3 linked regions of the Nothobranchius furzeri genome follow. Each later gene encodes a partner of the first gene's protein in a complex. Links are inferred from orthologs where the notes say so. Each region holds a gene or a part of one and is shown on either strand. Other genes may lie near its edges.

The links.
Region 2: smarca2 (region 1) and dpf3 share a complex: the UniProt entries of both Homo sapiens proteins name them as parts of the BAF complex. The link is inferred for Nothobranchius furzeri from reciprocal best matches to the Homo sapiens genes SMARCA2 and DPF3.
Region 3: smarca2 (region 1) and smarcd3b share a complex: the UniProt entries of both Homo sapiens proteins name them as parts of the BAF complex. The link is inferred for Nothobranchius furzeri from reciprocal best matches to the Homo sapiens genes SMARCA2 and SMARCD3.

What each region holds. Positions count from the first base shown.
Region 1 is NC_091750.1:37,858,838-37,862,348, forward strand, and holds part of smarca2 (probable global transcription activator SNF2L2), read left to right. Parts: intron 1-268; coding exon 269-335; intron 336-413; coding exon 414-524; intron 525-2,179; coding exon 2,180-2,422; intron 2,423-3,511. UniProt on the Homo sapiens protein: ATPase involved in transcriptional activation and repression of select genes by chromatin remodeling (alteration of DNA-nucleosome topology).
Region 2 is NC_091742.1:25,606,822-25,611,070, reverse strand, and holds the start of dpf3 (zinc finger protein DPF3), read right to left. Parts: upstream 2,803-4,249; 5' UTR 2,688-2,802; coding exon 2,656-2,687; intron 1-2,655. Other genes in the region: wdr21 (WD repeat domain 21), read left to right, coding at 4,069-4,148, 4,230-4,249. UniProt on the Homo sapiens protein: Belongs to the neuron-specific chromatin remodeling complex (nBAF complex).
Region 3 is NC_091747.1:45,543,164-45,547,187, forward strand, and holds the start of smarcd3b (SWI/SNF-related matrix-associated actin-dependent regulator of chromatin subfamily D member 3b), read right to left. Parts: upstream 2,803-4,024; 5' UTR 2,668-2,802; coding exon 2,590-2,667; intron 1-2,589. UniProt on the Homo sapiens protein: Involved in transcriptional activation and repression of select genes by chromatin remodeling (alteration of DNA-nucleosome topology).

The DNA.
Region 1 (3,511 bases):
TTTTAGGCCGAATACTTAAATTTTAACTAAGATGCACTAAAGTGCCGAATTATTGACTACATTTGTCTACAGCACGAGTAGCAAAATAATGTTGATTTGGAGTGACTTGCTCTTTTAATAGCTCCTTCCTTTCCTTCCTGTGTCTACGTGTTCTGGATGAGTTCTTCCCCGGGTAACAGAAGCCTCATCCTTTAGAAGAGAACTGCTCTGAATTCAGTCCACAAACATGTAAACAACTCCTCCTGTGATGCGTTTGTGTCTTCTCTAGGACTATGTCTAACTGGGTCTATGAGCTGGATAAATGGGCTCCTTCTGTGGTCAAAATAGCTTACAAGGTAAAGCGAATCTTCTGTTTGTTTATTTCATCCTGATAGTTTTTCCCCACACAGCTGTGTGTTTTCCTCCCGTTCCAGGGTACTCCGGGTTTGCGCCGTGGACTTGTGCCGCAGCTCCGCAGCGGGAAGTTTAACGTCCTACTGACCACCTACGAATACATCATCAAGGACAAGCACATCCTGGCCAAGGTGAAGGAGGGTCTGCTCACACGCCTCATCAGTACTTCTATTATCGGTTTTCATTGTTTGAGCTTTGGTTTGGGCGAACTAACTGATTTTCTTCAGATTTAATCAAAGCAAATGAGCAAAGTTCTATATTACAATCAATACTTACTAGGGATGAGCCGGATACTCGTTTCAGACGCGTATCCGTTATGGATAAAGCATTTTTGACGAATACGAGCATGAAACAAGTAAAACTCGTAAATATCTGTAATGGTGCTGAAGGAAAATCCTCATTGGATAACTGACTGTCTTCACGCTCTGTGATTGGCCAGTCACATAGAGCGCCCGCCCCTCCCTACACACAAAACTCTGCAGCCGGGAGCTCAGTCTGGCCCATGCATCCACACACACACACACACACAGACAATAACGGATCTCGCTGCTTGCTTTACTAATGCTCACGTTTCTTCAGAGCTCCCTAGGTTTTCTTCAGCTCGGTTTAATATTTAAAGTTCATTTTTTTTGTAACGCACGTGGTGCATTTGACTAGACAGACAGCTCGTGCTGCGTCGGTCACTGCCTCCGCTCCGCTGGGTCTGTCTCTGTCTCTCTCTCTGTCTCTCTCTGTCTCTCTCTCTCTCTCTCTCTCTGTCTCTCTGTCTCTCTCTGTCTCTCTCTCTGTCTCTCTCTCTCTCTCTCTCTCTCTCTCTCTCTCTCTCTCTCTCTCTCTCTCTCTCTCTCTCTCTCTCTCTCTCTCTCTCTCTCTCTCTCTCTCTCTCTCTCTCTCTCTCTCTCTCTCTCTCTCTCTCTCTCTCTCTCTCTCTCTCTCTCTCTCTCTCTCTCTCTCTCTCTCTCTCTCTCTCTCTCTCTCTCTCTCTCTCTCTCTCTCTCTCTCTCTCTCTCTCTCTCTGCATTAATTCATGCACTTAAATATTAATGTTCTGATTTTATTGAAAAAATTGTTCCTTTACTATTGCAATCAAAAATATTTAATATCAATTCTGAGGCTGTTCTGTAAATACTTTTCAAATAAACAATACTCATAGCAACTTCTGATCAATCCATATCAATTTCAGACTTAAAACAATGTATTAATGTAAACCACACCCACTTCCGGGTTAGGCCACGCCCACACCACGTACACATACAGATAGTGGTGTACTCGCTCAGCCCTATTACTTACTTTCTCCTAAACGAAACCTTTGGTAGCGAGTTTTCTCCGCCATGAGCTAAATACGAATGACCTACAGAACGTTGGATCCAATTTAGTCTCGCTTACGGCCGCGTCGTGTCGTCTGCAGATGCTTTAAAGGTCAACTAAACTGTAGGAAATGAAAGCAGCTGAACTTATCTTCTGTAATTTAAAGCAGAACGATGATTATCTGGTTCTTAGTCGGTGAAAAGCGGTTTAAAGCTGATTTCAGCAGCTGTACGGTGATGAAATGTGTTTAAAACTTTTATTGACTTTTGTGCAACATCTGAGTTTGTTTTTCTCCCTCCTGCTGTGATCGTGTTCAACGAGGAGCTGAGATCATTTTTATACGGAATGGAAAAACATACAAATGAAGAAACTTTGGATAAAATTCAAAGTTGTTTTCATTTGAGGATCAAGACTGGAGTCTTTGGAGCTCGTCCTGGTTTGACCCTGAGGGTTTAGCTAGTTTGTGTTTTCACTCCAGATCCGTTGGAAGTACATGATCGTGGACGAGGGCCATCGTATGAAGAACCACCACTGTAAGCTGACCCAGGTGTTGAACACACACTACGTGGCTCCACGCCGCCTCCTCCTGACCGGAACGCCGCTGCAGAACAAGCTTCCTGAACTCTGGGCCTTGCTCAACTTCCTGCTGCCCACCATCTTCAAGAGCTGCAGCACCTTTGAGCAGTGGTTCAACGCCCCGTTCGCCATGACCGGAGAGCGGGTAACGGCTCACTGTTTAATCTCCCCCAGAGGGACCGATTTTCCTCACAAATCACTAGAAACATCAGACGGAAACCGGCAGAGCCACAGAAATGTTTAACCAGCTTTAGCGGCTCCAGTGATTCGTTTGACAGGATGAAAACAAAAGAAAAATAAATAAATGTTGTAATTATTTATTTCCGCACCTGGAGTCAGGCACGAGCGCTGGAAGTCGAGAGAGCGAGGCGGGGAACGCTGCGAGTCAACGCCGGCTTTGCTGCATCATTTCAGGCTCATGTACAGAAAAGCTTGTAGGTGCTTTTGGTTTCCTGTGAAAATTCCCAGAACGGAACCAGGAAGTTTGTGGGAATTTCAGTTTCTCAAAGCTGACCAATCATGTTATGGCCAGAGGTGGAAACGCCCGCCTCACTAGCATAAATGCGAGAGGGAAATGTGGAAATAATTGCAACATCCGTCCGCTTATCCGGGGTCGGGTCGCGGGGGCAGCAGCCTAAGTCGAGAGGCCCACACTTCCCTCTCCCAGTCTCTTGGGCCAGCTCCTCCGGGGAATCCCAAGGCGTTCCCTGGCCTGGTGAGAGACATAGTCCCTCCAGCGTGTCCTGGGTCTTCCTTTAGCCCTCCTCCCGGTTGGGCGTGCCCGGAAAACCTTACCGGGGAGGCGTCCAGGAGGCATCCTGACCAGATGCCCGAGCCACCTCAACTGGCTCCTCTTTTATGCGGAGGAGCAGCGGCTCTACTCCGAGCCCCTCCCGCATGACCGAGCTTCTCACCACATTTACAACATATATTTGTTTATCTTTATTTACTCCGTTATTTAATTTTATATTTCCTTCTTCGTGTATTTAATTAATGTCTGTTTTGGCAGGAAGAGCAGGAAACTCAGACGTCGGTGTTGCTCTTATATCTTTCCCCTTTTATAATTTATTCAGCTTTACATTTTGCTCTGAAAGTTTGCTTGAAAGGAGAAGCAGATGTTGTGTTTACTGCTCTTCCCACCTGATGCATCATGTATTCGGGCATGTTGTATGTGCCTCTTAGCTTCACACGCGTACCGATGACGGCTTTCTAACATACTCGACACCCACAACCC
Region 2 (4,249 bases), on another chromosome or scaffold:
TTGGGCCAGCCGTATTGCTGTAGTATGATGGCATCATCGGCAGACGCAGGACCCCGAGCAGAAACAACAGCACCAGAAAACTACAATCAACATTACATTCTCCTGATGGAATTACCTGAAGGACCATCAAAATCGAAGGCATCATGCCGAGGTCGCATGCTTTCTGCTCCACAGGTAACAACATTTACCGTTCTGGTTTTTTTTTTAAACTAGCGACAGTCACGGCGATAAGCTGTCAAACTACCGTGAAATGTATGTACTGCCCCCTAGCGCCAGGAGACTACACACTGCTGCTTTATATCCAAGATTCAATCTTTGATATTTTATAGCAAGTCGAGCAACATTATTTTATCAACATCACATTACAGTTAATTTTGTATAATACAGTTACTTAAGAAAGCAATATAAAAAAAACAGTCAGTATTTGGTGTAGTCACCATGTGCCTCATGCAGTTCAACACATCTCCGTTGGAGTTGATCAGGTTGTTGAATGTGGCCTGTGAATTGTTGGTCCACCCCACTTCAATAGCTGTTCAAGGTTGCTAAATTTTGTCAAGAACTGGTTGTATACAAATGTGCTTGATGGGTGGCACATCCAGTCAAGCAAGAACTGGGATCTTTTCATCTTTCAGGAACTGTGCACAGAACCTTGCTAGACGGAGCCGTGCATTATCATGCTGCAAAATGAGTTGATGGCCGTGGTTGAACTGCGCAACATTGAGCTTCAGGATCTCATCACGGTATCGCTGTGTGTTCAATATCCCATCAATAAAATGCACCTGTACTTGTTTTCCATAACATATGCCTGCCCATAACCTCACCGCCACCATGGGCCACTCGATTCATCATCCTCGTCGTCATCGTCTTCCTCTGCTTATCCAGGTCCGGGTTGCGGGGGCAGCATCCCAACTAGGGAGCTCCAGACCGTCCTCTCCCCGGCCACCTCCACCAGCTCCTCCGGCAGGACCCCAAGGCGTTCCCGGACCAGATTGGAGATTTAACCTCTCCAACGTGTCCTGGGTCGACCCGGGGAACTCCTGCCGGCAGGACATGCCCGAAACACCTCCCCAGGGAGGCGTCCAGGAGGCATCCTGACCAGATGCCCAAACCACCTCAACTGACTCCTTTCGATCCGGAGGAGCAGCGGTTCTACTCCGAGTCCCTCCCGAATGTCCGAGCTCCTCACCCTATCTCTAAGGCTGAGCCCGGCCACCCTACGGAGGAAACTCATTTCGGCCGCTTGTATCCGCGATCTCGTTCTTTCGGTCATTACCCAAAGCTCATGACCATAGGTGAGGATTGGGACGTAGATGGACCGGTAAATCGAGAGCCTGGCTTTCTGGCTCAGCTCCCTCTTCACCACGACAGATCGGCTCAGCGTCCGCATCACTGCAGACGCCGAACCAATCCGCCTGTCGATCTCCCGATCCCTCCTACCCTCACTCGTGAACAAGACCCTGAGATACTTAAACTCCTCCACTTGAGGTAGGACCTCTCTCCCGACCCGGAGTTGGCAAGCCACCCTCACATCAGTCCTGAAGAATGTAATTTCTCTAAACTGAGATTGTTTCGGAAGACTTTTACATTGAGTAAGACGGATATATTTATAACAAAAAAACACTTTAAAGTTGCTAAAATACCCCTTAAAAATGTAAAGTCAATTCTAAATGTATTTTAATACTTTGACTTAAAAAGTGCTTATCTTTTTCTGCAAATATTAGATCTGATGCACACAAATAACAGATGGGGACCCCCATCCGTACTCCTTCATCAGCTCCTAACTTGTGCCTTTCTCTTAACAGATAGACCCACAGGAGAATACTGGGACACTGTTAATCTCCTGCTTGACAGGCACAACCGCAAACAAAAGCTAACGCGTACACTCACTACATCCTAATCTGTTTTGATGGAAAACAACAGCTTAAAGCATTTTTTCCCTTTTTTTCCAACAAAGAGCTTTAGATAACAACGTGTATTATTTGGAACACATTTACCCAGAAAGGTCATGCTGAAGGTTTTAAAAGAAGTGGCGCAGAATTGGATTACGGTTCCTATAACAAAACCTAGAATTCTTACACACACACGAGCTATCACTGAGACACATGACACATGGCAACCTTTTCTAGAGGGGAGAAAAAGCAAATTAAGACTTATAGATTTCCAAATCATACAATATGGTTGTGTTGCCATTTTCTGACAATATGTGTTTAATATTGGTGCAGATTTCCTCTACATGCACGGCCGTGTTTTAATCTGCTCCTGTGAGTATACTGTGCACGCATTTGAAATAAGTGCCCGTGCGCGCGCCAGTTGTGATGTCATTTGCATCAAAATTTTCATCGCTATTAGGGATTCCCCGATGCAAACTTTTACCAGTCGCTTCTTTTTTGCGTGAAACTTTCTTCATATGCGAAACCAACTGCACAACGAGACTGGATGTCTAAAGAGTGTGCTTTTTTTCTACAACGTGCATGCTTTTATGTGAGGATCTTTGCACAACAGCGCGCAGCGATACCTGATTATAACAGACAGTCCGAGTGCAGATGAAAGGCTGCGTTTATGATTCCTATCATTAAAAAAACACATGGAAAAGGAACCGTTGTGTCTGCAGCTGCTCGACTAAGATTTAAAAAAGGATAAAAGAAATACACTTACGATTTTAATGGATTATGAATGACAGTCGCCATCTTTCTGCAGAACTGTAATGCAATATTCCAAATCTGTGTGCAGTTTGGGACCCTTCTTAAAAAAAAGAAAAAAGGAAAAAACGACAGCCAATGCGGTCCTCTGCTCTTTCTAATACAACAGAAGCATCAACACATGAGGCGTGGCTTCAGTGAAATATGTCAACATACTCTGCACTGGAATCATTCCACTCAAATAATTAGATTTAGTTATAAAACAGCTGTCTAAAAGTTTATGAGTTGTACGCCATTACCAGATGTTCTTAATATTTCTACAATTTTTTATCTTTTTGTTTGAACATTTGAGCATTATTTGTCCTAATTTACATTACATACTACCAATGGGTATAAATCACGAAGTTCGTGATCAAAGTTATTAATTTCTGTGATTTGTTTGTTTTTAATGTTCAACATCATTAATCATTTCGTAGAGGACGCGTATGCTACATTTAATGTCCACCGGAATTAAATGTAGCCTTCAACGCACAATTATTGTTTCTTGGAACCACGTGACGGGCTCAGAGTTGTTTCTTGTGCTCAGCTGTTAAAAATAAATGCTCAGTTACTTTAATTGAAGATTATTTTCAAATCAATAAAAGCGCAACAATATAGTAAAACTATTATTTATACAATTTCAATATTATTTTCTCTTACTTTTCAGATTAATATGGATTTTCGTATTAAAGTAGAACATGGTGGATGACAAATCAAAATTATAATTACCGTATTGATAATTGTTTCGGCTTTTCAGTGATTTTTGTTTATTGTTGATTGAAAATTCAAATGTCCCACATGATCTTAAATGCAGCAACCAATGAACGTATCTTACGTCCGAAAATTGTTGTTGAAAAAATTTACCAATGATAAGTTCGAAAGGCGGGACTATGTAAAATGACGTGACGTTGCGTTTGTGAACAGTTGGTAAGTCAGCATTCGCTCTTTCATATTTGTCTGCTTAATTATTGAGCAACCTTAAATACTTTGATGACTTTTGATAAAGTAAAATATTAAACCTGAAGTACAAACAGTTTTGTCTCACTTTGCCCACGGAACGACTTGCCCATTGAACGCGTCAGTACAAGTAGCATTTTCCTTTTTCCGAGGTACATCGAATGCCGCATTACCGTAAACCAAGTAGCTCAAGAGAGTTTAAAAATTAAGTCATAATTAGTACTTTATTCTGAATTATGTTTGTTCATCGTCACTAGGATTAATTTGCTGTTTTAAACCTTTGTTGTATGCAACGTTTTTGAAGTCCAGCTACATTAGCAAACGTGTCGCTAGCTCTAATGCTAACGTTGCTAACTTAGCTAACAAGTAATCACGTCGTGAACAGAAAGCGTGATGTGACAACCTTCACTGTTGGAGCCAAGAAAAAAAAAGGATGAAGAAACGAAACTGGCCACAAAGTCGTCGCTACGGACGGTACATAAACGACCGTGAAAGATCTGCTGGCGACGAACAGTGTGTACAATATAAACATCCATAGTGTTCCTGAAAGTGTGCTATCAGGAATTATGTAGCTTTGTTGTGTTCTGTGTACAGGTATGGACTCAATGATGCTG
Region 3 (4,024 bases), on another chromosome or scaffold:
TATTTGACTTTGTATTTAAATATTTTATATTAAATATTTACTATCAGAATATTTAAGTAAATAAAACAAACCTTATAATTTCTTAAATCTTAGTTATTTCTCATAAATATTTTTGTTTGACTAGATATTCATAAATAATGATAGATTACAATGATAAACTAATTTAATTTGATTGAAATTATTTTGATATTCTATTGTATATTATTATTATATAAATGAATTTCTAAAAGTTGAACACATGTAAACAGCAGAATAAATCTGGTTTAATGAGCATTTTAGATTTGCTTGTGTTTACTTTTGTTTGATTTTATGATTCAAATATTTAATTATTTGAAGAAACAGAAAGATGTCATCATGGCTGCTGACCAGATCACCGTGACGACGGCTTTAAAAAAATAATCACCCAGAATAAAAAGATCTTTTGCATCTTTCAGACGTTGATTACCCCAAAACTCCAGAAACATGGAAGAAACTCCCCTTGTGGGAACTTTTCCTTTAAAGAACGACTAACGTGGGAGAAAAATCAAGTCTGTGTTCACTTTTGCACAAATTGTGCAACATTTTGCAGACAACATAGCTACAGTGTGCCACTTCACGTGTTGGCTTATCTTTGGTTTTCTCACGGAGGATTTTCCTCCAACCGTACGTCCACAGACACGAGATGGGACATAGAGGAGATAATGACCCATAAGAATAAGAATAAGAACACCTTTATTAGTCCCTCAGTGGAGAAACTGCATAAGAACCACAGGCTGCAGTTTTAGCAAGTTTTCTGCATCAAAAAGCCATTTTCTTCTTACATTTCCCCACTAAAGGAAAGAAAATATCATCGTCCACCACAAGCTGACACACTGAGCCAGATCCCACATCTTTTAGTATAAATATTTCTGCATAAAAACAAGATGTTTCCATCAAATATGAGGGAAGAAACGAGGATGAAAGGGGAGAGGAGAAAACAAGCAGAGAGAAATATTTGGCTTAGAGCAGCCAGAGACTCATCAAGGTTAATTGGTCTGTTGAGAGGACGGATTCATCTGGCTCATCAATCACCTGCTCCGTTGTTTCCTAAAATGTGTCTGCGAGCGCGGGACTTCGCCACCCAGACCCCTTTTAATGACTGTTCCTGTCAAAGACACCACATCTCATCTGGTTTCAGAGTATTAATCAACCAAGCGTGGATTAAAACCCAAACCGAGTCAGAAAACTTCACAGATTAAAGCATAAAAGTATCACCTAGAGCCTTTACGATGGATACGAGACGGTTTTTCACCGTTTCATTAGAGAAAACCATCAGATCCTGTAAAAATCTTATTAAATAATGTAGATTATCAGTGCATATTTCAATTAAGCACAGCAAATGATTCAAACTAAACTTTAGATGAAGCTTTACAATAACTTTATGATGTTTCTATAAATTTTGAGTGTTTTTTTAAACAATTCAAGCTTGAAATGGTCATTATTTGAATCATTCCTAACATGGAATTGGAAGATTGTGCCCATTTCCCATTTCACCAGTTTAAACCAGTTCAACTTCTAACAGGAGTCTTGAAAACTGTTCAATCATCCGGTTTGCGTTGGTAATAAACAGAATAATCCCAAACTGGATGGATTTGAATCCAACTCTCATTAGAAGAACATCTTCAGCTAATTAACTTCTGGAGTCACCTTGATTCAAGATGGCCGCCACAGCCAAAACGCATCAACGCCTCAAACTCAGCTGTTTTCAGTTATTGAGTCAGGATTTGGTGTTTTGGTAGCTGAGGCTCACCACCATCACACAGAAATGCTTCACATGCCTTCTTTGACCGTAACAGCATTAAATCCATCATTTATCTGCAGCAACAACAATAATATTAAGTTTGTTGCTTCCTGAGGATCTTCTCATACTTTCTTGCCAGTTAATTCATTATTTATTCACTTAATTGGCAAATATCAGAGTTTTTTATAATCTGTATCACAAAATGTAATAAATGCGCCTGGTTAGATCCTTTATTTTATGTGGAAATAAGAATATGTTGTCTGGTTTGAGGTCAGGAGTGGTTTAAGCTGCCATAAATGTTGGAGATGAGGTGAAGTCGACCAAAACAAACCTGCCCCATGTGTCAGCTCACAGCTGCCTAACCTCTAGCCGAGCTGGTGTTACATGAAGGATCTGATTGTTCGGTGTGATCTCCAGGATCAGCCGTCTGCTCTGACTCCATCTGATGACCTCACAGGTTGAAGCCAGCATCTCGCCTTCTGGAAGGACCTCGTCATTTCCCTCCTCATGTTAGCAAAAGGAGGAGCTGCTGCTGCCTTAGCTTCTGTTTCTACAATTATTCATGTGTAGAAATCCTCCCTCCCGCTCAGAGCCATCCATTCATGCTGCTCCACTTCTCATCCTCCTCAAGCCATCTCCTGACGGATCAGAGGGGCTGGAAATATCCTTCACATGGCCAGCTTTTACCCAGCTATAACACACACACACACACACACACACACACACACACACACACACGCTGCTCCACCGACTCATCCACACCATCACACACACAGATGCATGCCAGAGCTCGGCTCCTCTACATGGGAATGACAGACAGCGCCACTCACCACTCCATGGACCAGGAACTCAAACAGTTTGCTCTTGGTGGCTTTCCTGGCTCCCCCCGCCGTCTCCTCCGTAGCCATTTGCTCAGTCCTGTCTCCCCTCTCCTTCTTTTGTCTTTCCCTCTCCCTTCACCCAGCCTCCTGTTCCCCTCCCCTGCTCCACTTTCCTTCTCTTTGTGCTCTCCTTTTCAGCACTGCTTGTCCCTGACTCTCCTTCTCCCTCTTCCCTCCCTCTCCCTTTTTTCCTCCCCCCCCCCTCTCTCTCTCTCTCCCCCTCAGCGTGTAGCAGCCCCGCCGAGCCGCTCTCTGTGTGTCTGGATCACTTTTGAGTTGTGCTGCCTTTCAGAAGCCCGGCACGTCGCTCGCTTGGAGGTGGAGTAGGGTGGTGTGTGTGTGTGTGGAGGGGGAGAAGCCATGCAGGGGTCTGGCAGGGGGGTTTCAGCCAGCCCACCCTGCCGCTCCCCCCACACAGCTGTTGCATTCCATTGGTAGATAAGGGCATGCGTTGCAGAGAGGTTTGGTCTAAAACAAGACACCCTCCACCCCCCAGACCATCAGAGGCCACGGTCAGCACACACAGAACCCTGACTCTGGGCCCATTCTCAAAAAAAGATGGAGTCTTAAAGGGGCCACGCTGCATCTCATTAAGTCGCCACATGATGGAGAGCTTCACACACTAACTTACTCAGGAGGGCTGCACTGGTAAGTTGGGAGCATGTCCCCCAGTCACCTCACTGGTTTTCACCCCTCACCCAGTGCCAGGGCAGCAAGGTGACTCTGTATGACACCAGCAATCACACTCAACCCTGCCCGGATCTCCTGCTTCGCTGATGTTATTATCTATAAAAATGCAGAAAGCTGAAGCTGTTACACACACTCGTCCTTTCAAGGGCAGAAGGACTAAAGAGAAGACAGCCGAATAATCCAGACTGTCATCCTCACACAGGTCGACACTCAGACCAGAGCTACCCCACACCCTGACCGCTCCAGCCCCTCGCTTTCCTCCAGCCGCTGGATCAGAGGGGTGAAATATTCATGAGGTTATCTGAATGACAAAAGGAGGCGAAGCGGAGCACGCGAAGGCAAATCGTCACCGTTATCATTTCCTTTTCTGTTTTTCTGCTGGTGTCAGAGAGGCAACGAAACAAAGAAGTCCAGGAAGAAAGAAATTATGACCAACATTGATCTCCAAATAAGAAATCATTTATGACGGATGTATTAAAATAAATAACAAGGTTGCTTCTATTTATAATCAAGATTAATAGGAAATTTTATTTCTGTGGAATAGATGTGATGAGAGGGTCAGAGGTCACATCATCACTTTTTAAAGTCAAATCTATTAGTTCAACCAAACCCAGACACCAGATAAATCCTAAATACGTTAACTGGTACAGATTTCCAAAAAGCCAACATGTTCCTCCAAATATTTCAGTAGTAA